3 linked regions of the Struthio camelus genome follow. The protein of the gene in region 2 interacts with the protein of the main gene of each other region in a pairwise test. Links are inferred from orthologs where the notes say so. Each region holds a gene or a part of one and is shown on either strand. Other genes may lie near its edges. The genes, in order: MAD2L1BP, INPP5K and ARL6IP1.

Region 1 (10,803 bases), on a different chromosome or scaffold from region 2:
AACTTTTTCTTTTTCCCCTCAACAGCAAATACTCTTTAGATGACCTCTTGACCAACGTGATGATTTACTGGGTGACATCATCCATCGTGCCCTCAATGCGTTTCTACAAGGAGAACTTCCCCAGTAGCCTTGATTTAAGGTAACTAAGTGGCAGGTGCAGGATAGATTTGCAACAGATATGGGGATTGGACCACATTTGCCTGAGCATTTAGATCACTTACAACAGCAAAGTTAACACTTACTTTTTGAAAAAAAAAAAAAATCCAAGTTCTTATTTCCTGTTGATAAGTATAGTTAAGGGTCACTTTTCTTGTGAACTTGTAAGGCTCATAAGCTGGCTTGCAGCCAAGACAACGCAGAGAACATATTAAGAGAGATTCATAGACGTTTTTGTTCAAAATACAAGTCAATACCATTATTTGCCTGAAGAACAAATTTAGGCTGGGGCTTAGTTCTGTAAAAAGGAAAAAAAAACCCAACACATTAGCATCTCTTTTGGGGAGCTTAAACTGAATTAGGAAGGATATGGCTTACTGGTGGATAAACTAAGAACTACAGCTGTTGATCAAGGACTTAAGGAAGCAACTTGGGAAGGGATTTTACTAAAGGAGCAAGTTTCTAGAAAAGCAGTACTTGAGACCAAACACCTTCTAACAGCTACTAGCTTTAGGATTACTACTACAGAGGCTGACCAGAAAACACACTGCTGAGCAAAACTGCTCTTCAAGTGACTGACCTTAAGAACAAGAGAGAATCTTGTTCTCTGTGGACTGGCCAAGCCAGTTTACCTTTCTTCTCAGAAGGATAAGGGTCACATGTCACAAAGCTACCAAGCAAGACAAGCTTAAAAATCTGAAATAATTTAAGATTGAACTCTGTGCACAAGGTCAGCTCTACTTTACATATCTGACTGTAACAATCAGGATTGTTACAAAACTCAAGGAGAGATCCAAATACAAGTGAAGCACTTCAGCTGGGTACAGACCACAAAACAAGTTGCTGTAGTGAAACTTCAACTCACTGTGGCAGTTACAAGAGTCAGAAGAGTTTTATAGACTTCCCCCAGGAACAGTCTTTCAAAAATGCAGTTAACTAATGTCCTTTTAGGGTCGACATATACGTTCCCACAGGGATTGCAGCCTTTCCTCACGAGATAGTACATACACCGCGCACCTGGGCAAAGAAGAACTTCAAGAACATTGTCACTTACTCTTACATGCCACGTGGGGGGCATTTTGCTGCCTTCGAGGAACCAAGGCTTCTGGCACAAGACATCAGGCACTTTGTCAGAAAGGTGGAACAACTGTGAACCTACAGTTCAGATATGTACAGAGAATCAAAGCATGTTGCTCTGCAACCACCAGAAGCAGTACTTTGAAGGGTTAAATAAATCTACTGTAGTCACATACAGAGACCAGCATTTTATTTTGTTGATAACTACTAGACTTGTTAATAAAGCTCTAAAGCTCTTCATAAGAAAAGAAGGCATCTTGTCGTCTTTCATTCCCAACACCCTATCATTGCTGCATTCATAATTCAAGTATAACAGAATATGTAAACAGTTTAATGCAATAACATTGCACTCACTTAAGGGAGGGAGGGGAAAGGGACCGGTCCCTTGTTCCTCAGAACGAAGGCTTCTGTTCAAAAGCTTCTTTAAATATTTGAGTGCTAACATTCTTAAGTATGCATTACAAGCAGCTGTGGTGGAAGTAAAGGGTTTTGATCTCCTGAGCACATCAAACACTCCACCTGTTCAAGTCACATTTCAGTCAAGAGACCTGTGATCACATGCTGAAGTGGGCAGCTGCACCTAAGGCAGCTTTCTTCATTCTAGCAATTTCTTCCTGGAGCTAGCTTTAGCAGTCACCACATCTTTGTTAACCAACGGATAGTAAGGCAGAGACAGCACTCCTGGCATTCTCCAAGCTCAAAAACGTCAACTTAACTACCTTGCTTCCCGTTCTACAATCTTACTCCATTCCAAAAGGTCAGACAATTTTTTTTTTTAAAGGAATAAGTGCAGAGCCTCCTTTCAACAGATCTTCTAGTACCTCACTAGTGCGAGTAAGAAACTACAAGCAACCTCACTACCAGTAGCCTACAATTTCAAACAGGAGAGAGATATTTGGAGCTACTAAACTCATTGCATTATAGGTACGTACCCAGCTGATGCAAGACGACTCCAGTGGATATCTAGTTTGACACAGCGTACTCTAAGGGTTTCTCTCTGTGTCCCATTCTGCACTAGACACCAGACCTGGTACAGAAGAAAGGGCTCAAGTTCTACTTCCAGGTAATACAGAGCATTCCAATTTGGAACAGGAAGTTCACAGTTAAAGACAGTGTTGAAGTTGATCATATCCCCATCATCTCTTCTCCACATTTCAGCAAGCTTTAGAGTCTCAGCAAGCTTTAGAGTCTAAGACTCTAACATTTCTAAGAGGTAAAAGTAAGCAAGAACTGAGCCTTTTTTTTTTTTTTAAAGGAGAAAAAAACAGCATAATGGGGCAGGAGTCCTAACTTCCTCTGAAGAGTGTTAGAACAAAAATTACTTACTCTTGATTTTAACAAACTGATTGTCAGGGCTGTTGGAGTCAAGGTTCATAAAGAGACACCAAAATGTGCTTTTCTGCCTCCACAGGACTGCTTAACCTTTTTTCACAAGTACAGCACAGTGCTAGGTAAGAAACCTCCCAATTGCTAAGGTGTCCTACTCTTTGGATGATTAACTAGCTGACATTGAATTATGGGAAGTCTAATTTTATCAAATAGATGATCAAACACTTAAGTATTCAAATTTGATCACACTAAAGGGAAAGATCTCTTTTCCCAGCAGTGGGATAGGTAAGAATTGCTATAGCCTTTACTATAAAGGCTACTAAGCCCTGGAAAGGCCAACTGCATTAATAATCACGTGCATTATTTAGAGTCTGAGACAATTTGGTAAAGTAATAATTATTGCTAGAGGAACTGCTGCATTAAAACTCAGGAGAGAGAAGATCATATCCAGTATTTGCCAGTTCAGTAAGCATGCTGCAAGAAAGTTTTACTCCCAGCACAGTAGTTCCATCTGCTGTGCCACAGCCCAGGTTCCTAAAGAATGCCTGTATCGATATGTAACTGTACCTTAAAAGGTATTTGTTTTCAATAACAACATGGGGAAGAATTTTACAGCTGTTTCATAGAAAGATGAACACAGTCCAGCTACAGGAAGATAGCAGATGCCCTGGAGAAAAGATCCAGAGAGACAAGAATATGCAATTACATTTGATAAAATAGTCATCACCTAAAGCAGCACCAAAGGTTATTCAATAATCCATTGAAGTTCTATAAAGCACGAGTCATTCATGAAATCCCTTGAGTGTCACCGGTGCTTGAAACCATATGTAATCCTCCCAGGCCGATGTCATACCCTGAGGAGATGAGGCACTTATACTGACGTCTCCATCAGAGGACAAGTTGACAGTTAGTTTCCTTCCTCGAGTCGGCACTTTGTAGTTGAGCTTGGGCCGGAACCAATCAACACCACAGTCGCGGTGTCCTTGGAGCATAACGACAGTGCCCACGATGGGGAGAACCTTAAGTTCACTGAAGACATCCGCTATGAAGAGCGAGTGAAAAAGTTTACGCACGCAGAATGGGGTTTTCAGGCTCTCCTCAGCGCTGCCCACACAGATACCCTCTAAGTTGAGCTCATAAAGCTCCTTGGGGCTCACAGCATTGCCACCAAGCAGAATAAGAACACGGGGAACCAGCGTCAAACTGAACATCACTTCCAAGTGCTGGAGCACCCCCTCCAGCTCCATCAGCACCTGCTGGCATTTCTTGCTTGCCATGTCCATGGAGGGCGGCTTCTTAATCACGTCTCCATCCTGTCAGGGGGAGGAGGGGGAATTAGAATACTTGAGAAAAATAGGGAAGAGGTCTTAATACACTCTTGTGAGGTGCAGCACATCCCTTCCCTAACACTCAAGGGAGGTTGGACAGATTTTTTTTTTTTCTTTTAAGAGGTACAGGGCAGCTCATATGGAATCAGGAGGTCCGAGAGGAATGCAAAAGGCCACTCGGTAGCTGCTCAGCTTGAACCTGCATCAGGCTACTAATGAATCCTCACAACAATTAGGGACCCCAACTTTCAAAGGTGGGGAAACCACCCTGAAGCCACTTGAGAGCAAGGCAGCGTGCGGTGGGCTTGGCCGAGCCACAAACGCAAAACAGCGAGCCACGCACTTTGAGCGGAAACTGGGACGCAAGGGATTAACAGCAGCGTCTTGACACTTTTAGCTGTCGGCCTTATTTTAAAACAAGGCTGCGGCATGGCTAAGGCTTGAGCTAACGCGGGCGTCTCGTTTCAGGAGAAAGTGACGCCGTTGCCAAGCCGCGGCGCCAGCAGAGCGCCGCGTCGCGCCGGCCCCGCGCCTGGCCCCGGCCCCGGCCCCGCCGCCCACCTGCGCCGCCCGCCGGCAGAAGTAGACGAGCTGCTCGTAGGGCAGCGGCAGCTGGTGCCGCTGGTGCAGGACGTGCTTGAGGAGCTCGCAGGCGAAGCGGCAACAGCTCTCACGGCTCACGGCGCCCGGGAACACCACCGACACCGAGGGGCACCCCGCCGCTGCCGCCGCCGCCGCCCCGCTCCGCCGGGACCTCACCCCGCCGCGCTCCGGGGCGGCCGGCGGCGCCTCGGCTGTGAGGAGCGGGGACAAGGCAGAGGTCGCCCGCCGGGGAGGGGTGGGGGCGGCGGCCGCAACAGCCACCGCTGGGGCGCAGGGCCGCTCCGCGCCGCCCGGCGCCGCCATTTTCTGAGCGGCGGCGGGCGGTGGCCAGCGCGGATTTGAATGGCCGCCGCCGCGGGGCACCATGGGAGCGCTCTCGCGCGCGGCTTCCGGGGCGGTGCCGCCGCCATGTTCGGTGGGGGCGGAGCGGGGCCCGGGCCTACGTGGGGGCGCTGCCCTCGCTCCGGGTGCGGCAGCCGTGCGGGTGCTTGGTGAGGCCGGAGCCCCCGGCCCCGCTGCGCTGAGGCGCCGCCGGCCCAGCCGCGGGCGCCGTGAGCCCTCCCGTAGGCAGGGCGGGCGGTTTCTCCCTCAGTGCCGTTGGTCCCCGAGCGCCCGTCAGGCGCCCCCCGGGGCCAAGCCGAAGGCCCTGCCGGCCCCCCAGCCCGCTCAGGCCTCTGACCGGGGTGGGGGGGAGCCGCGCTGGCTCTGCCCGGGCTGGGCTGCTCCCGGGGCGCTGTTTTGCGGCGCGTTGCCGCGCCGGGCGAAGCTGTTTGCCAGGCGGAGGCGGGGGAGCCGGGCCAGGTGGCGTGCGGCCAGGGCCTGTCGTGTTTGGAAACAACGTGGCCGCAGCCCCATTGGGCGCAGCCTCCAAAACACGGCCCGGGGAGGGCGGTCGCGCCGGTGGGTGATGGGATGAGCAATTCCCCAGTGCTCCCGTAGGGTGAGGAGCGCTGTGTGCGCACAGCACGGCGACCTTGGCTACCTCTTAAAAGCACCAAAGGCTTTAAAAGCTGTTGATGGTAGCACATGTTAATCGAGCATCTCTGTCCCCAGGGGATGGAGCTGAGAAAAATGAGGCTTACTGGCAGTAGCAGTAGTAGCATCAGAGAGACAAATGAGTGGCAAAACATGCAGTGCATTACTGGCAGAGAAGGTGACAACACGTGGCAGGAGGTTCTCATCCTCAGCCTGTTGCTTTTACCCTTCTCAGCAGAGCTTATGGTATCTTCTCTATAGTTCCGTGCTGTGATACCATTTCTGTATAGCTATTAAGTATTTCTGATGCAAACCTTATTCGTAAAAACCTTTTGGCTCCCTGTCCCTGTTGCCAGCCGGAATCGGTGCCAATAGCTGTCACTGAAGTGGAGGGTATCAGGGCTCGAAGCGTGCAGCAGGCTGCGCCCCGGCAACATAAGCTGCGAATTGCAGAGTCCCCAAGGGAGGGTGGCAGGTGCTGGAGGAGCACCCCCTCCCTCAGCCTTGCACCCTCGGAGACCCTCGGTGGTTCCCTGGCCCAGGCCCGCTCCCCAAAGCACGGCCGAGGAGAGGGGCGGGGGAGCACCCGGGGTTGGGGGGCGCGACCTGTCGGCGATGCCCGCGGTGGCCGCCAGGCGGCGCCCTCCCGCCTCCCCCGGACTCCAACTCCCGTCCGCCCCCGCCCGAGGGAGCCCGTATAGGAGCGGGAGCGGGGCGGCGCGGGGCGTGCTGGGAGTCGTAGTTCTGAGCGGTGGGGGGCGGCGCGGGGCGTGCCGGGAAGTGTAGTCCGGCGGCGGGGACTCAGTTTCCCGTGGCGCCGCGCGGCGGTTTCTGACGCCGGGGCCGGGGTCGGGGCCGGGGCGGCGAGCCGAGCCGAGCCGAGCCCGGGCGGGGAGCGGGCGCCGCACCGGGCCGGGCCGGGCCGGGCCGCGCCGCGCCGCGCCGCGCCGCCATGGACTCGCGGGTGTCGGAGCTGTTCGGGGGCTGCTGCCGGCCGGCGGGCGGCGGTGCGGGCGGGGCGCTGCGCGGGCGCGGGGGGGCCGCGCCCGGCGGCGGCGGCTCCTCCAAGGCGAAGAAGAAGAGCGGGCGGAGCCGGGGGGCCAAGGCCAACAACCCGCCGTACCTGCCGCCCGAGGTGAGCTCCGCGGCGGGGCCGGGCCGGGGCCGGGCTGCGGGGCGTCCCGGTGGGGTGGGGGGCGGCGGGGCTCGGCGCCTGGCAGGCGGTTTGGCAGGCGGTTGAGCCCGGCCCCGCCGGCACCGTTTCCCCCGCCGCGGGTTTGACGTGGCAGCGCTCGTGGTGCCGGGCAGCCCCCGGCGCGCTCGGCCAAACCGCGTCCGTCGGCGACGGCTCGCTGCCTGGCGTGCCCCTGGCAGTGCTTTGCCGTCGGGGAGCTGAACGGCTCGGGGAGTAAAACCTTGCTCGCCTCGCAGTCCCAAGCCTGCTGTTGGCACCGCTGCTGGGCAGTCGGTCTGGTGGGTGCCGGCGTCTTGCCGGCTGCCGAGCTACTAGACACCGCTCGGCAGCTTCTGGTGACACCCTTCGCGGCTCGCTCCGCCGCTGTGCCCTCGCGCCCGGGTGCGGAGGGCGCTGACAACGTGAGAGGCAGTCTTCTCGCTCACCTCTTACCGCCGGAAAATACGGTATCGGCAATAAGTAGCGTGTTGGTTAGTTCAGACAGTTGGCGGGGAACCGATAGGACCGCCGCTGTGGCGAGCCCTGCGCTGCCCCGGAGTTGATTGCTCAGCCCCGGTCAACAGGAGTCCTGTAAAAGAGGTAGGAGCCTGCTGAGGGGGAGCAATTCCCCGTGGCAGCAGGGAGTACGGGGCCTAGCTGCTGTTAGATGACTGCTCCACGGACAGGACTGTCCCCTGCCGCTGCAGTTGGGTTTTGTTCCTTTCAGCTGGAGGCTGGACGGTCCCTGTGGCTTCAGCACAGCTTCCTGTCCTCTGCTGCCTTGTTCGCTGTGTGGTCCAGCAAGTCTAGACTTGTTGCTTTTCTGGTCTCGGCTGCCTTGAAACCGACCCACCACCCCCTTATCACATACAGCGTTGCATGTGCGTGCAGTGTTTCTCTTAGAGCTGGAAGGATGGTGGATGGTAACAGGAAAACCTTTTGCAAGTACTGCTCTCTCACTGAGTAGTTTCACTGCCAAGAGCAGAGCTGATAATTCAGAGCCTCCCTCTGTTGGCCTTTTGCCACCATAAGCTCTGCTGTGGTTAGGAGCTGAACTAGAAGGCAAGGAGAGGCTCTTGCCTCTCTTGACGTGCAAATCAGTGTCTAGAGAAAAGGGAAGTGCTCAGTGCTGGCAGCCCGGTTTAGTCTGTCAGAGTACTTGGTGTCCTGCAGGCTCCAGCCCTTTCTCAGTGGTCCTTGGACTGAAGCAGTGGGAAAGTTACTTCAGTAGTGGCCATACGTTTTCTCTGAGAGTTGGTGCCTGTTGTGGTTGGAGTGCGCTCGATGAGTTAATGAGTCTTTCTGTTTCGGGCTGTGACAATCCAATCTGACTGCAGCCCTTCCGAGGATGTTGTCCACAGACGCTCCTGATCGTATCTGCTTCTCCAGAACTGTCAGGCCAGTGACTACTTTGCTGTACTACAAACAAGTCAGTAGTTTGCTTCCGTATGTCTGAAGGTCCTTCTCTCTGCAAGGTAGATGTGCATGGATATAGGAAAGAGTCGATGAAAAAATAATTGGATGAAGGGCATAGCGGTGTGTGGGAGAGGAGACAGCGACTTTTACCCCCAGCCAGCTGTTTTCATGCACGTTGGGCGGACAGAAGGTGCTGGATAGTGTGTGGTGGCAGTGTGGGATGTGAATTGAGTGGGGTGCGTGGAGACTTCTGATCATCTGCCAGCCTGTGCTGTTTTTTTGAAACTGAAAGTCTCTCTGACTTTCAGACTGGCCTCATCCTTTGCTGTCAGTAAAAGAAATGACTCTAATTTAGCCTCTGTTTTTCGTACTGTGTGATGCAAACAGCAGAAACGAACCCAAAGTAAGTTCCAGTACAATGTAGGAATGAATGGCAGGAGAGGCTGTGACTAACACTGTATGTTTCTGCAGTTTTCCCTCTCTCTGAAAATGGTAGCAGGAGCTTCACAGTGCCTGGGTGGCTGGTGCCTATTGTCCCTGTTGGCACAGGGTCTGACCTTTCTATCTTGTTTCATTCTCTGACTAGGCAGAAGATGGGAACATCGAGTACAAGGTGAGCCTTCTGAGCCTTGCAGAGGGAGGTCTTCCTCCCAGAGGATTATTTTGCAGTGAGTAACTTCAGCAAAGACAGCATATGGGGGACACGTTCAAGAAAGGGACAGAAAAATAGGCACTGGACTAAGGAGTTATCTGTCTACTTCTGGGTCTCTGTATGTAGCAATGCTCAGTATGCTGAGCTGGAAGAGTTGGATCTCCTTGCTTGTTTTAGGAACCTGGTTTAGGAGATGAGACCCACTGTACTTTTCATGAGATCTTCCTCCTTTGATGGAGATATCGAGGTATCCCTGATAATCCTTTGCCACTTGCTTGTGGCTCTCCAGCTGTTCACAGTTATTTGGTTCCTGTATCACAAATATGTCGCATGGTGCTGTTTCTTTGCCGCCAGAGCAGGCAGGGTACAGATCCCTTCTGCAAGATGCAGGAATGTTCTTGTACCCTACTATCATCAGGTGTGTTTTCAAGACGTGGGGTGGGGGCATTGCTTCATGGTGTTGGGCTGGGGAGTTGCTTCCTTGGGCAATGGGATTCCCTGTGTACCCAGGCTGTGACTCTTAACTACCCCCTCCGTTGAACAGCTAAAGCTAGTGAATCCTTCGCAATATCGCTTTGAGCACCTGGTGACACAGATGAAGTGGCGACTACAAGAAGGCCGAGGTGAGGCTGTCTATCAAATTGGCGTGGAGGACAACGGGCTGCTGGTGGGCCTCTCAGAAGAGGAGATGCGTGCCTCGCTCAAGACACTGCGCCGTATGGCGGAGAAGTATGTGTTCCTTTCCCTCACTGGAGCCTGCAGGCGTAAACAGCCTCCAGTGTAGAGAGGCTCGGCCCCCAAGGGGCAGAGGAGGGGAACTAAGGGCTCCAATTCACAAAGCCTCTGTATGACTGAAATTCCCTTAGCGCAAGGCTCTGGGAATAGCAGGGCAACTTGCCTGGAAGCTTGAGGCTTCTGCCCTGCGGTTTCCAGCTTTTGGCCCGTTCACTTTGCCAGGTCTGATTTTACAGGTGCCGAGGGCAGCTGAGTACAAAACGCGTGTCCCACTCTTCCCTTTGCGTTTGTGGCAGGGTTGGGGCAGACATCACAGTGCTCCGGGAGAGGGAGGTCGATTACGACAGCGACGTTCCAAGGAAGATAACAGAAGTCCTTGTCCGAAAGGTGCCTGACAACCAGCAGGTAGGAACCTGCAGCTTAGCCGTCCTCTCCTGCTGGAGACTTCCAGCCTTCATTCAAGCAGCTTCCTTTTGGGATGGGAGTCCAAGCCCTAGAGGCGCTTTGTCCTAGATTGGCCCATAGCAGGTGCTTTAAAGAGTTGCCAAAGAGAAGCTTGAGAGCAACGTTTTTCATCTCCAGGATTGCGATTGCAGCAGATTCCAGTAGGGGAGATTGCCTGCATGAGAGGTGAGAATTATTTCACTTCTATAGCACTGGTTGTGATGCAGCCCAGTGTGCAAACAGGGAAGGATTTGCAGTTATTGCTGCAACAAATGACTTTTTTTTTTTCTGATGTCAGAGGCTGGTGTATGACATCACAATGGTAGAAAGTGTATTGCAATTCCTGGGCTGTGATTTGCTGAGAGAAGGAGCAGAATCTGAGGAAGAAGATTACGCTGCACAATGCCCATCGTGCAGGGAAAGTCTCTGGTACCCATCTCTGCTGCCGTGCAGCATGGGTGCACCAACCAGCACAGCAGTGGCGAAGTTTTCCGATTTCTTTGTTGCTTTTCCCTTAGTTCTTAGACCTGCGAGTGGCTGTGCTGGGGAATGTGGACTCAGGGAAGTCGACGCTTTTGGGTGTCCTGACACAAGGAGAGCTAGACAACGGGAGGGGCAGAGCACGCCTCAACCTCTTCCGGCATCTTCACGAAATCCAGTCGGGAAGAACGTCGAGCATCAGCTTTGAGATCCTGGGCTTCAACAGCAAAGGAGAGGTGAGGGAGTGGCCTGCTGAACTCAAAATTGCTGGGAGAGGGTGAGATGGTGAAGGAGAGTATGGCTGCTTGTTACTGTTACAACAGTGAGGGGACATGACGGAAGAGAGGTTGCTCTGCTCTGTGTCCCCTTAGCTAAGCTCGAGTGCTGCCTGTCCATTTGCAACAAACAGTTTCTTACATCCATAAAGAATGATC
Region 2 (10,418 bases):
ATTGTTAGGTTGTTTAAGTTGCAATTCATGTTCATCTGTCTTAGGTTCCATTGGAAATTCTGTTCTGGATTAGGGCTGAAATGTAGTGATGCAGTGGTGTACTGCCACTGTCGGCGCTGGAGACAGGGTGTCTAAACACTTACTTGAGGGGTCAATCTGAAGCTTCTGGCACACTTCCAAAGTGGTTCTGAAACGTTTTCCTGTTGTCTCTCTATTTTAGTTTGCAAGACAGTCATCAGGAAGGCCTGGGGAATCCATACTCTTGACTGATGGACCATCTCTGGATCAAGCCTTTCTATATCCAATCAGCAGGCGATTTTAAATCTCCCATAGCTAATTCTAGATGCCCTTTAATATTGTGAGCAAATAGACCGTCTGGTACTAAGCACTCCAATGTTAGCACGTATATGAAGGAGGTAGCTCCTTGGAGACGTGTGACTTAGAGATCGCTGCATTTACGACTCCTCCCTCCTTTTTTTTTTTTCATTGTATTCAGACCAATTTCCATGTGGCCCTGTTTGATTTCCAAGTGACATTTTTAGCTAAAATAGTCTTGTGATGTGGTGACTTAGATTTTTTTTTTTTTTAACTGGGATAAACTGCCACCTTTGTTTGTGCCCAGCCGTTCACCATTCTTTGAAAGTCTATTTGGAGAGGGAACCTCTCAGTATTTTAGAGTGCAAAACTATTCCACAAAATTATATGCCCTGACCTTGCTCCCAAGGTAACAAATTTAATGGCGTGTAATCTGAATACATAATCAGGGAAGCCAGAGATAGTTCTTGGTCTGCAATGAATATAAGCTGATACGTGGCTTCTGCACAGCATTACTTTATTCTCTCTTAGCACACGTGAGTTAAAGACTGAGCAGAAGCTGTGTTCGGCATCCCCATGCTAGGTCCTTCAGCACATAACTGTTGAGTTTCAGTTTAGCGATACACGGTCCCTTTGGCCCATGTAGCCATGTTGTCCTTTAGCTTCATGTGTCAGTCTTATAAGATCATTGTAAAAACTTGCTTGAGAAATGTTGCAACTTCCTGGTTCTTTCTTTAGTAAGACTTAGCATAACTTACAAAACTAAAATTATTTTGACTAATAATAATGTGATTCTCCCTGGACAAATTAGAATGTAGCAAAGCTAGTGTATAAGTAAAGTCTCGGTATCTGATCACGTTCAGGTGCCTGGTTTGGTGGTTCTGCTCAGCAATAATACTCTTCCCATTGCAAGACTGACTTGAAACATGTCATTCCCTTCTATGAAACAGTAACTTACAAAGACCTGCAGTTGTTTTGTAGGATACCTTGCCAGTTTTTAAAAGTTGCAAAGGATACTGTTGAACAATGAAAACAGCTCTGGGTATTTAATGAACTCTAATACTATCTGTTAACTATCCTTATGTTGATACCAGCTTTAGACAATCAAATAAGCAGAACAGAATCAAAAAAATAGTGCTTTATTAAATACATATGAGAAAACCCTAATTTCTTTGCTTATGCATCAGGCCCAATGTTTGACTTCCCCCCCACCCCCAAGAGTCATCACTTTATTTTCCACTTCTGTATTTGGTGGCGCTAACGGAAAATACTGAATGCTAAACACAGACGTGGGTGTATCTGTACCTTCAAGGAGTCTTTTTGGCGTTCGTTAATACATCTGACTCCTTCAGCCCTTCGCATTCCTGCAAGCAGGAAATCCTGAAATGATCCCGTGCCATGCTGAACAAGTACATGCTGGGGTCTGAATTGTTTTCAGTGTGAGGGAAAATGATTCATGGTCTGGAGGGAGAGGATGGCTTTTGGTTACTGGGGAGGGGGCAGTTTATCCCTTTTTTAGTTTGTTTTTTTGCCTTACTCATGTCTAAGTGCAATAAGCTCTGAATTGTACCAGTAACTCTGGCAGGCTCTTCTCAGTGACCTCAGACGGTTTTGCGGGGTGGGGGGGGATGAGGGATTTTTAGCAAACACACCAGGCAGAAGTAAAACAAACTTACTGTAAAATAGGTGAAGATACTAAATCTTAATCTGCAAGGCTATTTGGGACCAGGATGTTGTTTCATGGCATCTCCTGTAGGTGTTCAAGAAGTATTTTAGGAGAGTAGGCCCCACTTAATAGTTCTTTCAGTTTAAAATATTTTTAACTGAGAATTTATGCACTGACTTCTGTTCGTGTTTGTTGGTTACATTTTGAGGGATTCTTACACTTGAGGACAACTTGAGAATACATAGCACATTTGTTCTTTAAATTTGTGTTATCCAAGAGGCTTTCTAGCTGATGACACTAATCGCTGTGGAAGCAGATTGTAACATTCCACCATGCAATCCTTTGCTGATCCTCTGTTTTCAGGGTAAGAGCTCTTACATAAAGCTTTCCTGATTAGTGGAAAAAACGGGGAAAAAATGCAGGAACTCCATCCTGAACTTTTTCTTTCTTTCTTTCTTTCTTTCTTCTCCTTGTTTTCTTTCCTCCTGATTCAATCCAAAGTGAATGCATCCCTCAGCCTTGGGATAGATGAATTCTATAAAAAACCTTTCAGTCTCGATGCTTGGTTCCTGCTAGTGAGCATATTGAAGACCATGCAGCGCCACGGTGCTGCAGCTCTTTCATTGGCTTTGGCAAGAACCCCAAACCCTGCTGGCTCGCGGAGGGGTTACCGCTGGGCTGTTTGTCTGTTCTAGGGCGATGGTTGGGCTGTGACCCTCTCCCCGATCGGTGCCGGTTGGCTCCGAGCGCCGCAGTACCGCTGGGATGCGCGTACTGTGCCGCGGGGGCCCGCAACCCGCGTCGGGCCGGTTTGCCGGCAGGGCCGCTTGCCCCCCACCTGCTGCACGTCTCTGGGTTCATCCCCTTGGGCCTCCCCGCCACGTTCTGATGAGTTCATCGTGCTCTTTCCTTTGGCAACACACACTTTGTAGAATGGGTTAGATTATCTCGTTGTTTCTTTAATGTGAGTTTGTGCCTTTTTTGTCTCCTAATCTTCCAATACAGGCATATTGGAAATGAAATCTAATAAAATACTAGACTGAGCTTTACGCTTCCGCCTCCTTTGTTCTGGGTGCAGCAGTGTGGGGGCCGCAGAGGGGGAGCCCTGGGGGCTGCGAGGCGGTGCGGAAAGGGTCTGCGGGGGCCGCAGAGGGGGAGCCCTGGGGGCTGCGAGGCGGTGCGGAAAGGGTCTGCGGGGGCCGCAGAGGGGGAGCCCTGGGGGCTGCGAGGCGGTGCGGAAAGGGTCTGCGGGGGCCGCAGAGGGGGAGCCCTGGGGGCTGCGAGGCGGTGCGGAAAGGGTCTGCGGGGGCCGCAGAGGGGGAGCCCTGGGGGCTGCGAGGCGGTGCGGAAAGGGTCTGCGGGGGCCGCAGAGGGGGAGCCCTGGGGGCTGCGAGGCGGTGCGGAAAGGGTCTGCGGGGGCCGCAGAGAGTCCCCGGGCGGCGCCCGCGCCCCTCCGGCGCGCCTGGCGGCGCCGCCGCCGCGCCCAGCCTCGCCCCGCCCCTCCAGCGCCACGTGACCCTCGCGCGGCCCAATGAGCGCGGAGCGCCGCCGCTGAGGGGAGCGAGGCGCCGGAGGAGGCCGCGGGCCGGGGTCGAGGCCGGGGCCGCCCTGCCCCGCTCGCAGCGCTTCCCGCCGGCGGCGGCGGCGGCGGCGGGATGGAGGCGGCGCGGCGCGGCGGCGGCGCGAGGATGCTGAGGTGAGCGGCCGCGCCGAAGCCGGCGGGTGTTGCGCGCTGCTTTTTTTTCCCCGAGATAAGGGCAGAAGAGCGGTGGCGGCTTTACGTAACGGCTGGGAATTAGCGAAGCCTGTGTTTCTGCTCATTAGCGGGGAGTTACGCTAATCAGCGCTGTTACGTAGTCACATGAAATAGAGAAGAAAAGCTGCTTTTCCGCTTTGAAAACGTTGCCCCCCCCCCCCCCCCGGAGCCGCTTCAGGGCGGCTTACCGAGGGTGGTTCAGGTGCTCGGGGCCTCAGCGCCTGAGAGGGCCGAGCCGGCGGGCTCGCCCGGGGCCCGAGGGGAGCGCGTTTGTTCGCGCCGCGTCCTCCGCGGTGCGGTGTCGCCGACGGCGGGCGAGGGGAAGCCTCTGCTTAACGGAGCCTGTGAGCAGTCCTCCGCAACGAGGAAAAACGGCAGATAAACCTCGTGTTTACTTAGGGGTAGCCTAATGGTTGTAACGGCCTGTTGGGGATGACTCTCTGAGCCTTAAAAAAAAAAAAAAACAAACCACCACCACCACCCTCTCTGCTGTTGAATAATGACAGGAGCCGGTGACACCGAGTGCCATCTTTTAAAAATTGTTTGGATTCAGGAGCTGATCTGTGGCAGGCCCGCTCAGGGCAGCGCTCTCGTGGTGCTGAAGGCTTCTGCTACATTGGGAGGGGATTCGCAGGTGTTTTAAGATGCCGTGGTGCTGAGTACGGAAGGAGAGGATAGCTTGAGCAGCCACCGATCTGTTGGTAACGGGTCTGTTTGTGGCATCAAGTGAGAACTGGAATTGCTGTAGTCCTTTCCTCGCCGCAGTTAGCTCTTGTATGGCCTTGTAAAGCACTAGAGAGCATCGGTAGGCCTTTGGGATGGCATAATGCCACAGGATCTTACCTACTCTACAGGTACCTATATATCCCTAACTGTTAAGTCTTTCCTGCAGACACGGTCATAACCGGCAATGAAACTGAATCGTTAAGGATGTTCTTGAAATTTTTACAAATATTCTTCTTCTGGTGCAAATTTGAGCTCTGCAGTCTTTCTTGTATTCTTATTAGTAGTGTAGGTATTGGGAGAATTTAATTTCTGTCAGTAATGACTGATAACTTCAATATTGTTTGACTTTTGACTTCTCGGGTAATTGCCTGCAAAAATTACTAATTGGAGAGAATTCCCAAGCGATACATCTCTTTGATGATAGCATGAGATCTGCAGCCTACATAATTTTTTCCTCTAGAAATTTATTTTAGGGTCAGTTTACTGTACTGTAGCTTTTGGCTGACTTCAGTGTAGCCTTATAAAGGGAAACTATTGATGAGAAAAATCGTGGCTCACTGAACTAGTTTGGAGCTTAAGGTCACTTTCCAGTTCTTCTGTGTACTTTGTGTCACCTTGAGCAGACCCTTGATTGTAAGGGGGGATAAAGGTACTGCCTTACATAATGGGTGTGTTGTAGGGATTAATTATTTAACCAGATGGAAGTGCTTATAGGGCCTTTACACAATAAATGTAAAGTGAATCCCTTTTTAGAAGCTGTGATATAGAAAATACTGTTTTAAAATGAAACAGTAGGTAAGTTATGTGGCAAGAGTATGTTTCTGGAAGCACTCAAGAGGAGCAGTAGGTTTGTTTGGTTTTGGCCTGAACTGAGTGTTTGTATGCTGGGAAGCTGGAGATTATATTTCTGCTAACCTACAAATGGAAGCACATGATTGATTCAAATCAACAATAAATTCTTTTAAATCTTAAGCTTATAGAATTAACCACATTAAATCTATTAGAAAAAAATGATTCAGTGTGTGAGGCAGGATGTGACTGCAGCTTTTGTAACAAGCTGTTGAATGTGGTGGTAGTGCTACAGTTTTTTCAGCACTGCTGCATCTGCATTTGTCCTGGGTTTGAAGCAATGCTGAATTTCATATGAGTGAAAGCTTGATTTTTCGAGACCCTTAGGCATCTCGCTGTTTGTTTTATACTTGGGATTTTAATGCATTGGTCCTTTGGAATATAGCTGTTCTTTCCTTCTGAGCAAATGGCATCCTTCAGTAGTGAAGATGCGTTTCAAGAGTCATCAGCCCTCTCCCTACATGATTTAGAAAGCCTGCACAACTTCCGCAGCCGTTCTGCAAGTTTCAGCAGCGCGGGGTCCAGTGGCCGCTTGCAACTCCGTCAGCGAGTAGCCCAGCTTATGGCTTGTGTAGAGGACATCAGCTCAGATGATGAAATTCATGAAGAAGTATCTCGCACTCTAGATGAAGCTTTCCTTATCTGGGGGAAAAAGCTGAAGGACAAGTGGCAAGAATTCAGGTTTTGTTCCTTCACTAACTGATTGTTATTTTTTATACTAGCTAATAAATAGGTTTCTAATTGGCCAAAAAATGACAGAAAATCTTTATTTTCTTTGTTTTCTGTAGACAGAAATTCTGTCAGAGAAGTTAGATGCTCTTCAGGTTACTTATCACACAAAACCAGTGCTAGAATTTAAATGTGAATTTTTTTTTTTCTTTATTTGTAGACTGCACGTAGTTACCTGGAATGTGGGCACAGCTTCTCCACCTCCTGATGTCACTAGTTTACTTCAGCTCAATTCACTGGGCCCAGCTATGGATATGTATGTTATTGGGTAAGTATATGTTGAAGAACTTGCTTTGTTAGTTTACTGCAAAGCCGATAAGTTTCAACAGCTTACTGTCAGCTTGGGGAGAACTGTGCAATGTGAATAACCTTCCAGGAGGTGGTTGAATACTGTCGCTAACAGAAGATGAAGGTTAGAGTTAATGCCAAAGAACAGAGATGATTTATAGCAAGCGACTCTTCTCCTCTTTCTGATGTTGTTTCATATGACAGAACACAGAATATCTTTTCTTTATCTAAGCGCATAGAATTAAAAAATATTTTGGCTGCTGTGGTCTTTGTTGGCAAGTAGAGAACATGCTCGTTTTGATAGGGAAGTTATCTGAAAATCAGTATGTTTTAAAGAAATGGATGCAAACTAATTAGGTAGAATCTGTGCCCTTTTGGATTTGCGTCATCTTTTAGTGAAACTGTCATCTTTTCCAAACTTACTTGAATATGTCAAGATGTGTTCTTTGTCATCGTTTACCTGGAGTTTGGTATTGTCTTGAACTCTGACTGTGTGCGTACATAAGCTCCTTTAACTTAGCTTTTCTTAGTGTTAGACCTGTGGATGGGTTAAACTGCTTGTAAATGAGAAATTGAACAGCGTTAAGAAATTTCTCGCTTAGGTGCAGAGAGGTCTATTGGGATGTTGTGGTTTGTGTTGTGATAAGGTTCTATGAATTCTGTTAAAACCCGATGATCCGGTGCGAGTAATTTTCATGTGTTCAGCTTACAGGAGGTGAACTCAAGGATCACAAACTTTCTCTCTGACTTGGCATTTGATGATCCTTGGAGCATTTTTTTCATGACTGTACTGTCACCGTTGGGATACCTCAAGGTAACTGTTTACATCTCTAAATATTACAACAGTGAAGGAAAATGTCTTCCTCGGCTCCGTTCAGACTTTTTTTTTCCTCAAACTGAGATGTAAAAAACACCATCAACACACATCTTTTACAGGTATCAATCATTTCCATAGGTGCATGTATGTTAGAAGTGATTCTCTGCCAGACTGGTGTTCTCTTGGTTTGTTGGTAAAGGCATTTTTAGGTTTTTTTTTTTCTATTAATAGTAGTATCCTTAATGTTTAGCAGTAAAAATTGGACACACAGAATTTTATTTCGTGTTTGGAATAGCTAGGTAGTTTTGATGCTTTTGCAGATGGGATGACAAACAGCGAGGAGATGTTTGTTCAGGTATGCGTGCAGTGGCTAATGCAAGTGGTGTAGAACCATGTGATGAATACGAAAATACTCCTGTTTTAATGAGAATACATTCTCAAGGAACAGAGTTTACTGAACAAGATTACTTAAAGTGAAATGTGATGTAAAGTTGCAGTCTAACAGCATATTTCTTGTGGCCACAATATCTCTGTCTTTCTCTTGTTTGTAGAAATTTTTTTTGCTCTGTGCAATATTTGGGAACTGTAATGTGATGCTTCTAATGTAGTCTCCTTAAGTACCTGCTTTCACTATAAGTATCCCAAGCAATGGCAGTGATTTTCATTAAGATTGGTAAGGTTTCTTCTTCCTTTTTTTATTTTTTTTAATTAATTTGTTTACAGGTGAAAGTAAATTGCTTAAACATAGAACAGGAGTATAGCAGGTGTATAGATTTTTGAGGACTTTATTAAGGGCCTAGAACATTGTATAGAAAGTTTAAACAACAAGATTTTTGACAATATATGGGACACAAGATCAAATAAAACACTAGGTATTTTAGTGAAGGAAACAGTAAATTCTCCTGAATTTCTCTAATAAATTAATATTAAAAGCCTTTTCAATGTTGTAGCAGTTTTCTAAATTATTTCAGGGTGATTTTGCTGAAATTAATATATTATCTGCATGCTAATAAGACTCATAGTTGTTCCATTCTTTTAACCGTAACTAAACAAAAATGTAATTAAATCAAATAAAGGACCTATTGGAAGTTTAAAAAAAAAAAAAAAGGGAAAGAAAAACATAGTTCATCCTAGTGTAAGATGTTGCTGGTAAACTTTCAAAATATGGCCACAGGATGATAATCAGGCCCTGTATACAGTTAAAATGAATTCCCTATGGTATGCATGGCTGAGTGAATTTCTAATTTGTAGATGCAGAGCTTAGGATGCACTAGTGAATGGATGCTGCCACCTAATGGTTTTCAGCAAGATTTAATTAGCTCCAACAAGAGACCTGGGTCATTGACATGCCTTCCCTTACTGGCAGGCCAGGTCAAAATCAAAATGGGCAACTAGGAGAGCCAGCTTTCCAGATGTGTCCTAGCATAAGCTTTTTTAAACAGAGGAACAGTTAAGTGTTCTATGTTGACCTTGGATGAGGTTGGATGTAGAGGGGTCATAGTCCTCCTTTGGATGTTCTGTCACTTCGCTAGCAGGGTCTGTTCTTGGAACATTAGGTTGTTGGGATCAGTCAGTTTTTTCACCATAAGCAGAGTCATGTCTCTTCTGTGAAGAGGCTTTGCACGATCTGGCACTACATGTTGGTGGGACTAGTGTAAGTCCCAGCAAAGGAGGGAGCCATTGTGTTTTGATATTCAAGGCCTGCAGAGGGAGGAGGTTTTATAGTGGACGGTGGATCTTGAGTTATGTTTAGGGGCTGGCCCGCAGCAGAAAAGAGTGGAACGTAGCAAATAGACTTTGAGCTTTGGAAAACTGGAAGACTTGAGCCGCAGACTGGATCTCCTCTTTACCTGTCATGGTCTCTAATGGGACTGAAAGATCTTGGTATCTCCTGAACTTAATTATGGAAAGGAGAATACAGGTTATACCAAATGTCTGATCAGATACAAATATTTATGTATTATAAAGTAAATTGTGATCCATCATTTAAATATACTAATGGTATGCATTTTTTTCGGACAATGAAAACAGTAACATATATCCTACAATCATTTAATTGTTTTGATGTAGAGGCTAAGAACGAATGAATTTTGTAGTAAATTTTCGAGCGAGATAAGGACTTGTTATATAGTCAGTGTTTTTCTTAGTATCAGTTTTTATGCTAATGTAGTCTTGCTGTTAGTTCATCAAATATAAAATTGAACTATAACATCCGTGTTTTAAATAGACTCATTATCATTAAAACAAATATTTAAACTGAATCTTGTGTCTCATGCTAGCAACATCCCAATAACATATTCTTTAACAAAGATCATCTTCATTAGGCTATTTCTATACCAAAAAAAAAAAGTATCTTAAAGCAAAAACAGTGTCATACATGCTCCTTAAGGATCTTTCTTTTGGAAGTAGTCAGTAAATCAGCTTTTACAGGCATTGCAGCAAGAGTTGCTGCTGTTTACAGCTTGTTATTTCTGCAGATGCTTAGAAGTAGCTGTTGTGCCTTTTAGATATTTTTAATGGAGTTCAGAACAGTCAATTATGTGCTGAAGGATGTTTCTATTGGAAAAGCTTTCTTGTTGGAGGACTTGTAGGTTGGTGCTGTTAAGATTATGGCTGAAAAATCAAGGATTTGTCTCTTCATGAACAGGATGCTTAAAGAGAGAAACAATAGGCTGATGAGACAGAAAAAAGGTCTTTAAAGACTTACTGTGTGGACAAATACTCATGTTTTGAGGTCAACTTCAGATTTGTAATATAATACAGTAATGTTAATTAGTTGAGAGACTTATCAAAAATTGTTCATAAGCAAGTCTACCGTGAGAACTTATGCTTTATAGCACCGAAATGTGTCTGCATGTGTTGTATCACAGTACTGATGTCAGGCTTGCCAAGGGAATTGCATGACTTCTGGTATGGCATTCTTTATCTAAAAGCTTCTGCAGAGTAGATCCAAGGAATTCCAGAGATATCTGTGGAAGTGACCCTGTCTTCTGTTTCTGTTCCAGCTCTCCTCTGTTCGCATGCAGGGATTGCTACTTCTAATCTTTGTGAAGTATGTCCACCTTCCTTTCATACGGGACATTCATACCCAATATATGCGCACAGGCCTCTATGGATACTGGGTAAAGAACTATCTGAGACTTAATTGCTTTGGTTACTTAATGCTTATGTTGGTGCGTGCCTCTAAATAGCCTTGTGGTGGGAGAGAGGATGTATGGTTTATTTAATAATGAATAAATTGACAAGCCGTATGTGTCTCACTTAGTTGAACC
Region 3 (10,873 bases), on a different chromosome or scaffold from region 2:
GCTAAACACAATGGTCTGCAACCCCCAAGGTCAAGGGTGAAAGTTCACCGCTTGAACAGCACGGTTTGTCTTTCTGCTACGGAAGAACTGCAAACGTGTCTGGGGGTTAGCTGCAGAAAGAAATCGGGATGCTACAAACCGCAGAGTGATTTGGAACTCAATTCCACCTGACCCTGTGAACAATTCAGGAAACACCGAACCCTGTTCAAAGAAAAACAGAAAAAAATGGGGCCATGAAGAAATCACAGCAAAGGAAGATTTGATGCATTCAGATTCTTGTTACTCTTGTTGCTTGGCAACAGTGCTGGTTGAGTTGACCAGTTAGTACAGAAAAAGGCTACAAAATGTAAACTTCAGAAATGGACTGAAAGCAAAGAGCTAAACATCAGATATACGCTGCATTGGAAGAACTTCTGAGATAGAAGAAAAAGCCTTTGTTCTCTTCTCCTTTTCCTCTTTCCTTTCTTTTTTTCCCTCCCGGCCTCTCCTTGCATAGCCCTCTTCTGGCTTATTCTTGTAGTTTAGGCGTACTTCCAATATACCTTTTATTTCAATCCTTCTACTTCACAGTTTAGTCAAATTAACGAATTTTGTTTGGTAAACCAATTTTCCCAAAGCACTGAAAATGTAGAACATCAATGATTACTTATGAGTTGGATGGTCAAATGCAAAATGTAATTTTGGTTATTTTGAAGTCACTTCTGTGATTCTATCATGTACAGTTTCTCAAAATTGTCACTGTGCATTTAAAAGTAATGAATCCTACAGGCATTTGATTTAACGTGCACTTCCCTCTGCTTGCAGTGTACACTTTTTTGTAATTCAAATTGTCCCTCCAATTCATTCTACTGTGATTGCTGTAGTTTCTTTCGTACGACGTACCTAATCCAATGTAATCTTTACCTTTTTAAAAACCAGGATAGAGTATCTAGTAGAGTTTTACATTGTTGATGACAGATAAACAATAAAGTGATGTTCTGGTGGAGGTAGAGTGATACGCTTTTTACTTCACTTTCCTAATACTTTTAGTTTACACTTGTAAATTATAGTGCTTCGGTTCACAGGAGTATACATAAAATCCAACAAATGAAGGACGCTCCAATTTTTGTTCAACTAGATTTGTAAAGATTTCTGCAAAGTAATTTTGCTTTGCCATATTACTTCTATAGATGGTTGTTCAATAATGCATTCATAGTGAATCTTCCACCAAGGCTTTTTGTTTTTTTTAATCAGTTCTGCACTCAAAGTGTGATTATGGTCAGAAAAGTCTCTCTAAAAATGGCATCTTCTTACTTAGAACTATGTCCTGCTTGTCTGTGAGTTGTCTAAAATACTTCTTCCTTACCTTTAAAAGGAGCTTGGACTGTCTTTGGCTCTGGAACACCTTTAGGAAAAGGAAACTTGCTTTTCTTATACCAAATAAACCTAACAATTCAGTTGTAACTACAGAATCTGTTACAGGTGCTGATATCCAAGGCAGAAATGCACATTGGCTTTCTCTGGCTCAGATAAATTTGCATAGCTACATATAAAAAGTTTCCTTTTGTAAATTTGGTGAATATATTACATGCAGCTGCTGAAAAATGATAGACATGGGAAGTTCCTTTAGGCCATTTTAGTCACTTTTCAGAGTAAAAACACACTTTAATTTTTCAATCAAAATTTAAGTATTAAAGAATTTGAGCCAAGTTCACTACTAGCATAGAATTCATTTAATTGAATGGATTTACAGCAGTTCATCTTGAGTAGAAAGCTTGGCTAATATTTTTCAGGTAACAAATTAACACCAGACATAAGTAATAGAAGAACTTATATTATTTTCAGTATTTGCACTATGCTAACTGCTCTGCCTCCTAAGTAGATCTTAGAGTTCGCTTTTTCCTCTGTTGCCAATTTTTCATGGACATGCACTTTGAAGTGTAAGCAATTTCAACAGACATGGCCTTTTTTTTTTTTTTGGTTGCATTCTGATTGTCTGATTAACTCCAGAGAAGTCACAGGCTTTATATTTAATGATACTCGTGCAAATGCATTCCACTGTCATTGCTTCCTGAACCCTCTGCCATGCCATGTATTGCAAGAAAGAAGGTGTTTGAATGTTGCAGTGAAGAACATTCATGTGCAGAACAAGACACTTTACACTGTTGGTCCTTTTTACTTTTTCTCCAGTTAAAAATAACCTTATGAACAATCTGTTTGGAGTACCATAGTAATAAGAGTGTATTATACATGCTGTTTTATTTCTTGGAAGTTGGGGGAAGGGAGGGGTAATGCACTCACCTGTGGCTCATGTATTATACCTCTGCTGTCCAGAAATGAAACACTTGTGTGGAGATGGGTTCTTTACTGCATAATTTAATAAAGTTTTAAAAAAAAATTGTATTCATAATTTTCCTTTTATGCAAAACTGTTGGTGGTTTTGAAAATTATGAGGAAGAATAAAAGGCCTAGTACATAAATCCCAGATTAGGACTGGATTCTGCAGAATTAAGTGTGTAATGTTAAGGAGACAGCTTACCTGTTCAGGAGTTTGTGGGACTGTCAGCTTTTATGTGTTGAAGTCAAAAACACATTTTTCTTTCAGTCTTTGTTAAACCTAAAATAGAGTTCTGAAGCAGGTTTTGTGCATGCGTGTTGCATGTTAAAGACGACTGTTCTTTACAAATCTCTTTCCTGTAAAGACATAAAGTTACTTTATTTCAGTAAAACTGAGACATCAACTTTGTTGCTGCAACAAAACCTAGAATAATGCAAATCTAGAATCAAAATCTTCGTACACACACGTAAATCAACTGAAGTAATAGAAGCTGAACTGTTCAGCTGATGGCAGTGTTTTTGCATGATGCTCACCTGCAGTGAATTTTAACCAAGGGATCATGCTATAAATGAATTCCTTGCAGTCAAATTTGAAGTGGGTGCAGCAGTTTTAAGTTGCTGCCTCCTTTCAACTGTATAGTCTAATGGCTGAGATATTCTTCGCCTTCTGGGACTCCAGTTACTAGTTTGTCTATCTTCCCACTCCCCTTCTCTAAAATCAGGGTAGAAGCACTGCTTTACCTAATAGGTTATTGCAGTGTGTTTAGGCCTAAGCAAATGAGTCTTCAGTGGCATGTCAGGTTAGTTTAACTCAAGTTGAAATCGTAGCAAATACTTACAGTAATGGAATTTTTAGTGCTTTGCAGTACTTTTTTCATGATCTGTTTCTTTCCTTCTTAACATCCAATTTTGCATTCGGTGATTATTCTTTTTAAAATGTTTTCGTCTGTAATTTTTCAAATATCTGTAACAAACTCAAGTCTGTTATATAAATCAGAGTTTTGAGACATTGCAGGTGGAGAAAAACATTTTTCATTTTTGACTGGAGAAGGCTTTGAATTGGGTTTCTGTAGAATCATTGGTGAGACTTAGTGCTATGTCGTCTTGCCTGGGAAACAAGCATGCTTCATTGTGCAGACTCCACAGTGGGAATCACAGTGACCGTGAACGCAGCCCCTGCAATAACCACATAGCTGTCTGCTTTCTATTCAAAGCAGTTAACAAAGGATAAATACGTTATCTGCTTTGAGATCTCTCAAGGAAAAGCACCATATACAAATGTTATGCCAAAAATACTGGAGGGGATTGAAGAGTTAAAGCTTAATTTTTGTAAACATTGTGGTCCTGAAGATCCATTTCCTTTCGTCAGTGTACTGTACCTAGTACATTTGGCCTTGCTGTTTTAGCACGCTCAGGTGCTTCAAAAGTTTATTTGCCTGCCCCTCCCCTTTTTTGGCAAGCTTTTTCTGAATTAGCAGGCATGCCCCTCTATGGATTAAATATCATTCTAGGAAAAAACATTTAAGATGAACTGCCATTCATCTAGCTTTTGCTTTCTTAAACACATGGGTACGCAAGTATCATATGCAGTTTATATTTTTTCTTTAGTGGAAAATACCTATTCAGGAGTGCACTATTAGCATTTTAGTGAAATATCATTTTTTTTAAGAAATTTAGATAAATGTTAAATATTAAATTACTTTTGTGTGTACCTAAGTGTGTAGCTAATCAGATCATTTTTTCACTTCTATCCGGCTTTGTCTTTTTGTTGATAGCATAAGGGAAAAACATTTTTAGATGCATTTATTATGTTTTTCCATGTGATGAAGGGGTGATGAAGGGGTGAGCAAGTCTGAAGCTTGCTGCAAACTGTGTGTGAGAATGTCAGTGTATGAACAGTGCCTCTACCTTGCAGCACTATCTGCATGATATGTAGAAGCATATAGGAAACAACTGGTTTTCTATTAGTTCAGGTAACGTGTGGGAAGTGAAGAACAGACTTGCCTGACTGGGTTTCCACACTCTGAGCTACTGATAGCGCTGTATCCTAGTCCTGTATTAGGACTAGGAGTTTTAACAAATGTTGTATTTATATTTATACACATACATGTATGCACACACATGCACCTGTTTTTTGGATTTGCATCGTGCTTCATGGCCTGGCTGTTCACACAGGAGAGCACTGAGCGGCCTGGCAGAGCCTGATGTTCTTGCGTTCTCTGCTCTAGGGCACGAGCCCGAACTGATGCTCTTCCTGGACAGCGAGGATGTCCTGGGAGACCCACTCTGCCCTTCCCCCTCCCCACCCCAGGTGCAGAAGAGCACTTACGCAAGGGAGGGAGACCTGTGTGGGTCCACTGGGTCAGGAGAAAAGCTGGAGCTGTAGTCTCATTTGGGAACTGGCATTTGAAAGACCACCTGGGAGATCAATGAATCTGGCGGTGGGGATGGAGATGATAGAAAACATCTGCTTTTTTTATTGATGACTGCTGTGTTTTTGTGGTGAAAATCATCCAACTAGATGAAAGTAGGAGCTGGCTGGCTGGCCCTACTGAGGACGCTGCGACAATAACAGCATGGTCACGAGTAGAAGCGCAGTGCGTTGCTTTCTCAAAAGACTTTCATCAGAATTGGTGCTGACACCACTTTCTTATGAAATTATTTTTTGTTTGAGGCTTGCTGTAGTGCAATAATGGATTTTGAGGGTGGAACCCAACGTTTCTGAGGTAAGAGCAAAACTATACACAAAGATATTCTCAGCTTTTAGGAACGGCAAGTAAATTAATTTGAAAGTTGTTCAGTAAAGTATCTATTCCTTATAGTGCTCTTCAAAGTCATTCAAGATTCTGGAAGATCAAAGACAGGTGAAAGCTAGCACTGTCCCCTTTCTGCTCTGTGTCAAGTTCGTGAATCGAGGTGAAGAGGTGGAAGAAGAGTAATGCAGGTTTTTTGTTTGGTTGGTTGTTTTTTTTTTTGCCCCTCGCTTTGGAGTTGCGTTACATCCTAGCGGCTGTGATTAAGCTCATAAATGTGTCAGTCATGCATGTATTAGGACATTGAGTCGGGAAAAAAAAAAAAAAAAAACAACCCTAGTGCATTTCTCCCATGTCTATTCCTGTGCTACTACAGCTTATGAAAAAATTAAAGCAAGTTGTTAGACTCCTGGTGGTAATTATGGTGCCTAGGTCAGTTGTGGTTTTCAGACCTAGTGCAACTTCCAGGGAGCTATGGGTTATTTCATCTGCTTCCTGTGTGGTAATCTTGAAGGCATCTCTTGCAACTGGATTTAGCTTTCTTAGAGGTGACATACTGGTTGTTTCACATTAGTCAAAGGCAATCAGTTTAAATATATATGCTATTAAAGACATGCCAACTTTCTTAAAGTTTCTGTTAGTGAGATCTTCTGGTGACATTTCTGACATTTCAGCTGCAGCAGGGTACTTAGTAGTCTTGAAACATTCTGGACGTTTTCAGTACTATTCTTAAGACATGCTATATATGACAAGCAAAGGTAACATTTTAAAAAAGCACATTGAGAAGCCTTTTACTTAATACCTTCTGATAATCCCGTTTTTATGTTATAGGGCTAAGACTTTTAAAAATAAAAACAGATTCCCTTTGAAGGTCTTAAGGGGACAGGGATTAAGACGGCTAAATAAAACGTCTGCTTAACACATTGCACGTGCCTCTACCATGAAATCAGTGTGGTGTGTACTGAGCCCAGACAATTATTTTTTGACTAAGCAGCATTAACAACACTGCAGTTACGTCTCAGATGTTGACTGCGCTTTTGCTGGGTTGCCGTCCCCAGGACGCCTCTGGCCCTTGAGCAGCTTCCTCGCTTTCCAGCGTGCTGCCCAGCGCCTGGGAGGGCGCAGGCCCCCGGCACCCTGCACCGCTCTGGACCGGCTCCGCCGGGCCCAGGCGCCGCCGCCGCCCCTGCGGCGGCCGGGCCGTTAACGGCCGCTCCTGTCGCAGTCGCACTGCGACGGAGGGGGGGGTGGGGGAGGGGCGGATGCCGCAGGCTGATTGGTTGAGTCTCTCTATTCAAATTCCCACCGGCCAACCGGCCGTCGGTGAGACCCGGCCGGCGCTCTGGGATTGGCTCGCGCTGCGTTTCGAGCCGGCCAATCGCGATGTCGGGCAGAGCTGCCGCGGTCTGACGGGAGGTGGGGGCGGGGAAGGGGACCGCGGCTATAAGAGGCGGCGGCCGCCGCGGCGCCGCGGGGCGCGGTCGGGGGCGGCGGCGCGAGGGCGGCGCAAGATGGCGGAGGGCGACAATAAGAGCAGCAACCAGCTGGTGAGGGGCCGCGCTCCTTCCCGGGGCCGGCGGGGTGTTGCGGTGGCGGCGCCGGGCCATCAACCCCCGCCGGTGGCGAGGCCGCTGGCTGGGGAAGGGCCTCGGTGGGCCCGGAGTGGCCTCTCCGCGCCGCGGCCTGGCTGGCGGCCGCGCTCGGCCCTGCCGGGGGAGAGGGTCGGGGAGGCCGGGCCGGGCCTGGCCGGGCCTGGCCGCGGCGGCCGCCGCCTTAGCGGTGTGAGCTCCGCGCTCGCCTTGCCGCTGCCGTGCGTGGATGGACTCGGGCCTGGCGGAGCCTGAGTTCGACTAGGGCAGCTCTGCGCCGCGCTTAGAAACGGCACTGCTGCTGCTGTGCTGCTCCCAGCCTCGTAATAATGCCTCGCTTTACCTGATGTGCAAGGCTTACGTTTAACGTTCATATCTTCATGTTTCGACATACTTTGGCTATGTTTTAGATGTTTAAAAGGTGCAGGAAGATAGTGACAGGAGCTGGATAATTAATGTAACTAAAGCACGTAAAAGGTGGCCTTGGCCAAGGGTGTGACTGTGTCCGTCTCTGTTATGGATGAACAACGGGTGCTGGGGAGACTGCTGTAAAAGCGTGGGGCTGAAGGGGTGAAAGAAAGGAGACTTTTGAGTGGAGTGCCTACTAATGTTTTTTTGAACAGGAAGCTGGACAGTTAGGAGATACTGAGGGAATCAGAACTGATGCTTTCTTTCAGTAGCTTAGAAGTGGAAAGAAACTTTAAATTTCAGAAGGAAAAAGAAACAGATCTATGTTGCCAAAAACATGTTCTATGGTCTAGAGAGATGCCCCCTTCAGAATGGAAGTTCATGTTTCTGGAAACTTAATGTTCTTTGGTTAATGACAAATCACTTTTGGTGGACGTGTTTTGGAATTAAATAGTGTTGCTGTTGACAAAACTGACATAGTAAGTTTTTTCTACCTGGCCCTGTGGGCAAACAAGTTACAGTACTCATAGGCTGACAGAGGCAGACTGCTACTACCAGCTGTGTTATATTCCAAACTGTTTCCCATTAAATTTTCTTTTGACTGTGTTGTTAGTGGCAGACAGCTGGAAGTAATAAAGAAAAACAGTTTGTTGTAAAATGCTTTCTGGAGAAATGCAGCTTTTTTTTTTTTCCATTTTTATGGGGGTTTATATTCTATAAAACATGAAATAGATGTGATAACTCGAAGGCATATCAGGTAGATAGCTATCCACTCTATTTTGTCTGTAAGTGTAGTTTTAAAATAGCTTACAATGGTATTGTATAAGAGAACTGTGCTTTACCATGGTAGCTGCACGCAGCTCTCTCTGTTATCCTGGGAAATGGTGTCAGGTTTCTCATTTGAGGTAAGTGTATCATCCACTGGAGAATTAAACCTGCTGTGACATCTCTGCACGGCAGATGTGCAGATCTTGATGACTTTTAACCTCTTGCTATGTAGGAAATAGTCTGTTCTGTTTGTGGTTACTTGAGTTTTGTAATCTGAGATCTCTTGTCCCGCTGAGGGCAAACTAGTAAATTTGGCACTCCTCGGGCCAGCTGCTCAGCCAGCTTATGCTGGAGCAGATCCAAAAGATATGCTGAGAGCAATTGCATAATGTGATGCCTTTGCTGGTGTAGGAAGGAGTGTAAAGGTCCCCTTGTCACAGTCTTGGGCAACTTGTGGAAACTGAATTGTGGAAAACTGAAATAGACAATTTGGGATATGACATAAGTGCTTTATAGAAGAATACTTTTTGTTAGGCTCTATATTAACAGGTTTTGTAATTCTTTTAAAAAAAAAAGGCTTTGAAGGAGAGGAAGAATGGGAACATGCATATGGTTAAACAATCATTGGAAAATATATATAGCAAAGTGCATAAAGTGAACTGGAGAGTTGCCTCAGTCTTTGTACCAATTAATATACTGAGTTGAGAGTTGCTGCTACTTTGCTGGAGTCTTGACTTTATGCTAAAGTGTCACTGCTACAGTGTCATCATATGGTAGGCAATTTACAACATCATTAGCAATGTAAATACACAGAAGGATTTGTGACTGCAGTCTTTATTTAATATATGCTCTTTAGATACTTCACATACAGGAGCTAGTGTGATATTCTGGTTAGTAATAACAAGTTTTCTTCTCTCTTCTTGTGTAGGCTGCAGAAACTGCTAGCTTAGAAGAGCAATTGCAAGGATGGGGAGAAGTGATTTTGATGACTGATAAAATTCTTCGCTGGGAGAGAGCCTGGTTTCCTCTTGCACTGATGAGTGTTGTTTCCTTCTCTTTCCTGTAAGTAGCTCATGGAGCATAGACCAGCATTGTGCTCTCATGGCTAGTGGCAGAAGTGTTAAGAAAACTACTAAGACGTTTTCTTTAAAAACCTAATGGGAAGCTTTCTTACTCCAAGTTCTGTTCCTTAATGCATGTTAACTTTCTTGAAAAGAAAAAAAGAACTGGGAACAAGAACTAACACCTCTCTCATCCCACTCAGATCTTGTACTTCCTTTCAATGTCTTAGCTATAGACTTCTTAAAAAAAAAAAAAAAAAAAAAAAAAGTGCTGGGGGTGAGGGGAGAGGTGATGTTTTCTGGAAAAGTTTGTCAGGGATGACTGCTGTAGCTTCTTAGCACCTTCAGCTGTATGCTGTTCCCTTTTTTTTATACGTATTTAACCCTCACCCTTTGTATGCTACTTAGTCAGATCTGGTTATCTTCTGTGGCTTTTTTCCCTAAGCCAACAGCAATGCTATTATGGTCTTAAGTTATGACAGAAAGCTTGTTCCCATTGGGCCAACTTCTCTGAAATGTTAGCAATTTTGCACTTTTGGCATGGTGTTTAGGCGGAATTCAGTCATCTTCACACAACTGGTACTTTCAGACTGGCTCTTGCACTCATTAAAAAGAGAGCAGGAGGGGAGAAGGAAAGACTGTAGGTAATTTTTAGTCAACAGGGTGGAAGAATGTTAACCCTCTCTGGGTTAGAGATACTGAACTGCATTGCTGGAGGCGCTTGTATGTGCTTTTATGTAATGCTGTAGCAGCCAAGATGACCCCTACAAGCCTTATACAGATAAGCGTCTACACCTGTTGTGAGGTTTGCCAGCTGCATGTTTTCTTGGAGTGAAGAAAAGAGGGCAGTTATCATAAATGTTGAACTAGGTGAGGTAGGGATAAACTGTCTTCTGGCTACTCTGAGTAAAGCTTATGGTTCTCAAGGGAGGTGAGAAGGGTAGAAATCAAATGAGGCTGAAAAGTAACTTCAGAAGTGTGACTGCGTGAACTTCAGGACATTCACTAATAAATTGTCTGTAATTATAGCAGGAAAGATACTATGCTCAATAATACTATGAGGAAGTAGAGCTACTGCAAATCCTGAATTTGGAATTGGTACTTCATCAAACATGAACTGGAGCATTCAGCATGTAGCACTGTGCCTGATGTATAGAAAGATTGGGCCTGCAGTGGACTGTCACCTCTGTACTTCTATTACTTTAGTGTTGGGGAAGAGCTGCTAAGTGCAAATAAATAACACAGGGTGCAGTTAAGTATTAAAAGACACTCATGAGATAAGCTAGTTCTTGTCTAGAACTGATACAGTTGCATTTGAGTCAAAAATGCAAAGTTAGTATGTCAGAGCACAACACAATTGGAGGCTTACAGCTCCCAACAAGGTTAGAGCTTTCACCCTACCTGGTTACTTCACTTGCTCACAAACGGTCTTGCACCCCTCACTCTCCCCACCTCAGCCAGTGTAATGTTTGCTGGGTCTTGACTTCTGGGAGAGCAATAATGAATTTTGAGATCTAGTGTATTTCATACTATGCTATATTCTAGCATTTTCTTACCTAGTATGTTAAGAAACTAGTAGTTTGATCAGTAATATTAAAGCAAATACAGATTCAATGAAATATTTAGTAGTAATAAGAGCAAATTTGAAGGGGGGGGGGAAGATTTTTGCGCGTGGGCAAGAGGGTAGGGTTACTGTTTCCAATTTTGAGCCAATTTGAAGAGATGGCTAAATATGTCAAGTATTTAGTAGACTGAGCATCCAGAAATCATTTCCATTGTTTTCTTTCTACAGGATGATCTACTACTTGGATCCATCTGTTCTTTCAGGCGTTTCCTGTTTTGTTATGTTCCTCTGTTTGGCTGATTACCTTGTTCCTGCTCTCGCCCCTAGAATCTTTGGCTCTAATAAGTGGTGAGGAAAGTTCAAACTGAAATAGTTTCTTGAGTATGTAGAAACTATGAACTTAAACCAAATGGA

What was found.
Region 1: the proteins of INPP5K (region 2) and MAD2L1BP interact in binary tests that used the Homo sapiens proteins (3 or more experiments, as listed by UniProt). The link is inferred for Struthio camelus from reciprocal best matches to the Homo sapiens genes INPP5K and MAD2L1BP.
Region 3: the proteins of INPP5K (region 2) and ARL6IP1 interact in binary tests that used the Homo sapiens proteins (3 or more experiments, as listed by UniProt). The link is inferred for Struthio camelus from reciprocal best matches to the Homo sapiens genes INPP5K and ARL6IP1.

What each region holds. Positions count from the first base shown.
Region 1 is NC_090944.1:103,724,071-103,734,873, reverse strand, and holds MAD2L1BP (MAD2L1-binding protein), read right to left. Parts: upstream 4,800-10,803; 5' UTR 4,797-4,799; coding exon 4,452-4,796; exon of another isoform or gene 4,443-4,451; intron 3,876-4,442; coding exon 3,345-3,875; 3' UTR 1,463-3,344; downstream 1-1,462. Other genes in the region: epoxide hydrolase 1, read left to right, coding at 26-139, 1,108-1,309; GTPBP2 (GTP-binding protein 2), read left to right, coding at 6,421-6,603, 8,645-8,671, 9,255-9,439, 9,742-9,850, 10,408-10,605. UniProt on the Homo sapiens protein: May function to silence the spindle checkpoint and allow mitosis to proceed through anaphase by binding MAD2L1 after it has become dissociated from the MAD2L1-CDC20 complex.
Region 2 is NC_090957.1:15,964,795-15,975,212, reverse strand, and holds the start of INPP5K (inositol polyphosphate 5-phosphatase K), read left to right. Parts: upstream 1-5,703; 5' UTR 5,704-5,718; coding exon 5,719-5,993; intron 5,994-6,201; coding exon 6,202-6,309; intron 6,310-7,034; coding exon 7,035-7,143; intron 7,144-10,151; coding exon 10,152-10,268; intron 10,269-10,418. UniProt on the Homo sapiens protein: Inositol 5-phosphatase which acts on inositol 1,4,5-trisphosphate, inositol 1,3,4,5-tetrakisphosphate, phosphatidylinositol 4,5-bisphosphate and phosphatidylinositol 3,4,5-trisphosphate.
Region 3 is NC_090956.1:10,490,356-10,501,228, forward strand, and holds the start of ARL6IP1 (ADP-ribosylation factor-like protein 6-interacting protein 1), read left to right. Parts: upstream 1-6,498; 5' UTR 6,499-6,580; coding exon 6,581-6,616; intron 6,617-8,762; coding exon 8,763-8,896; intron 8,897-10,687; coding exon 10,688-10,807; intron 10,808-10,873. UniProt on the Homo sapiens protein: Positively regulates SLC1A1/EAAC1-mediated glutamate transport by increasing its affinity for glutamate in a PKC activity-dependent manner.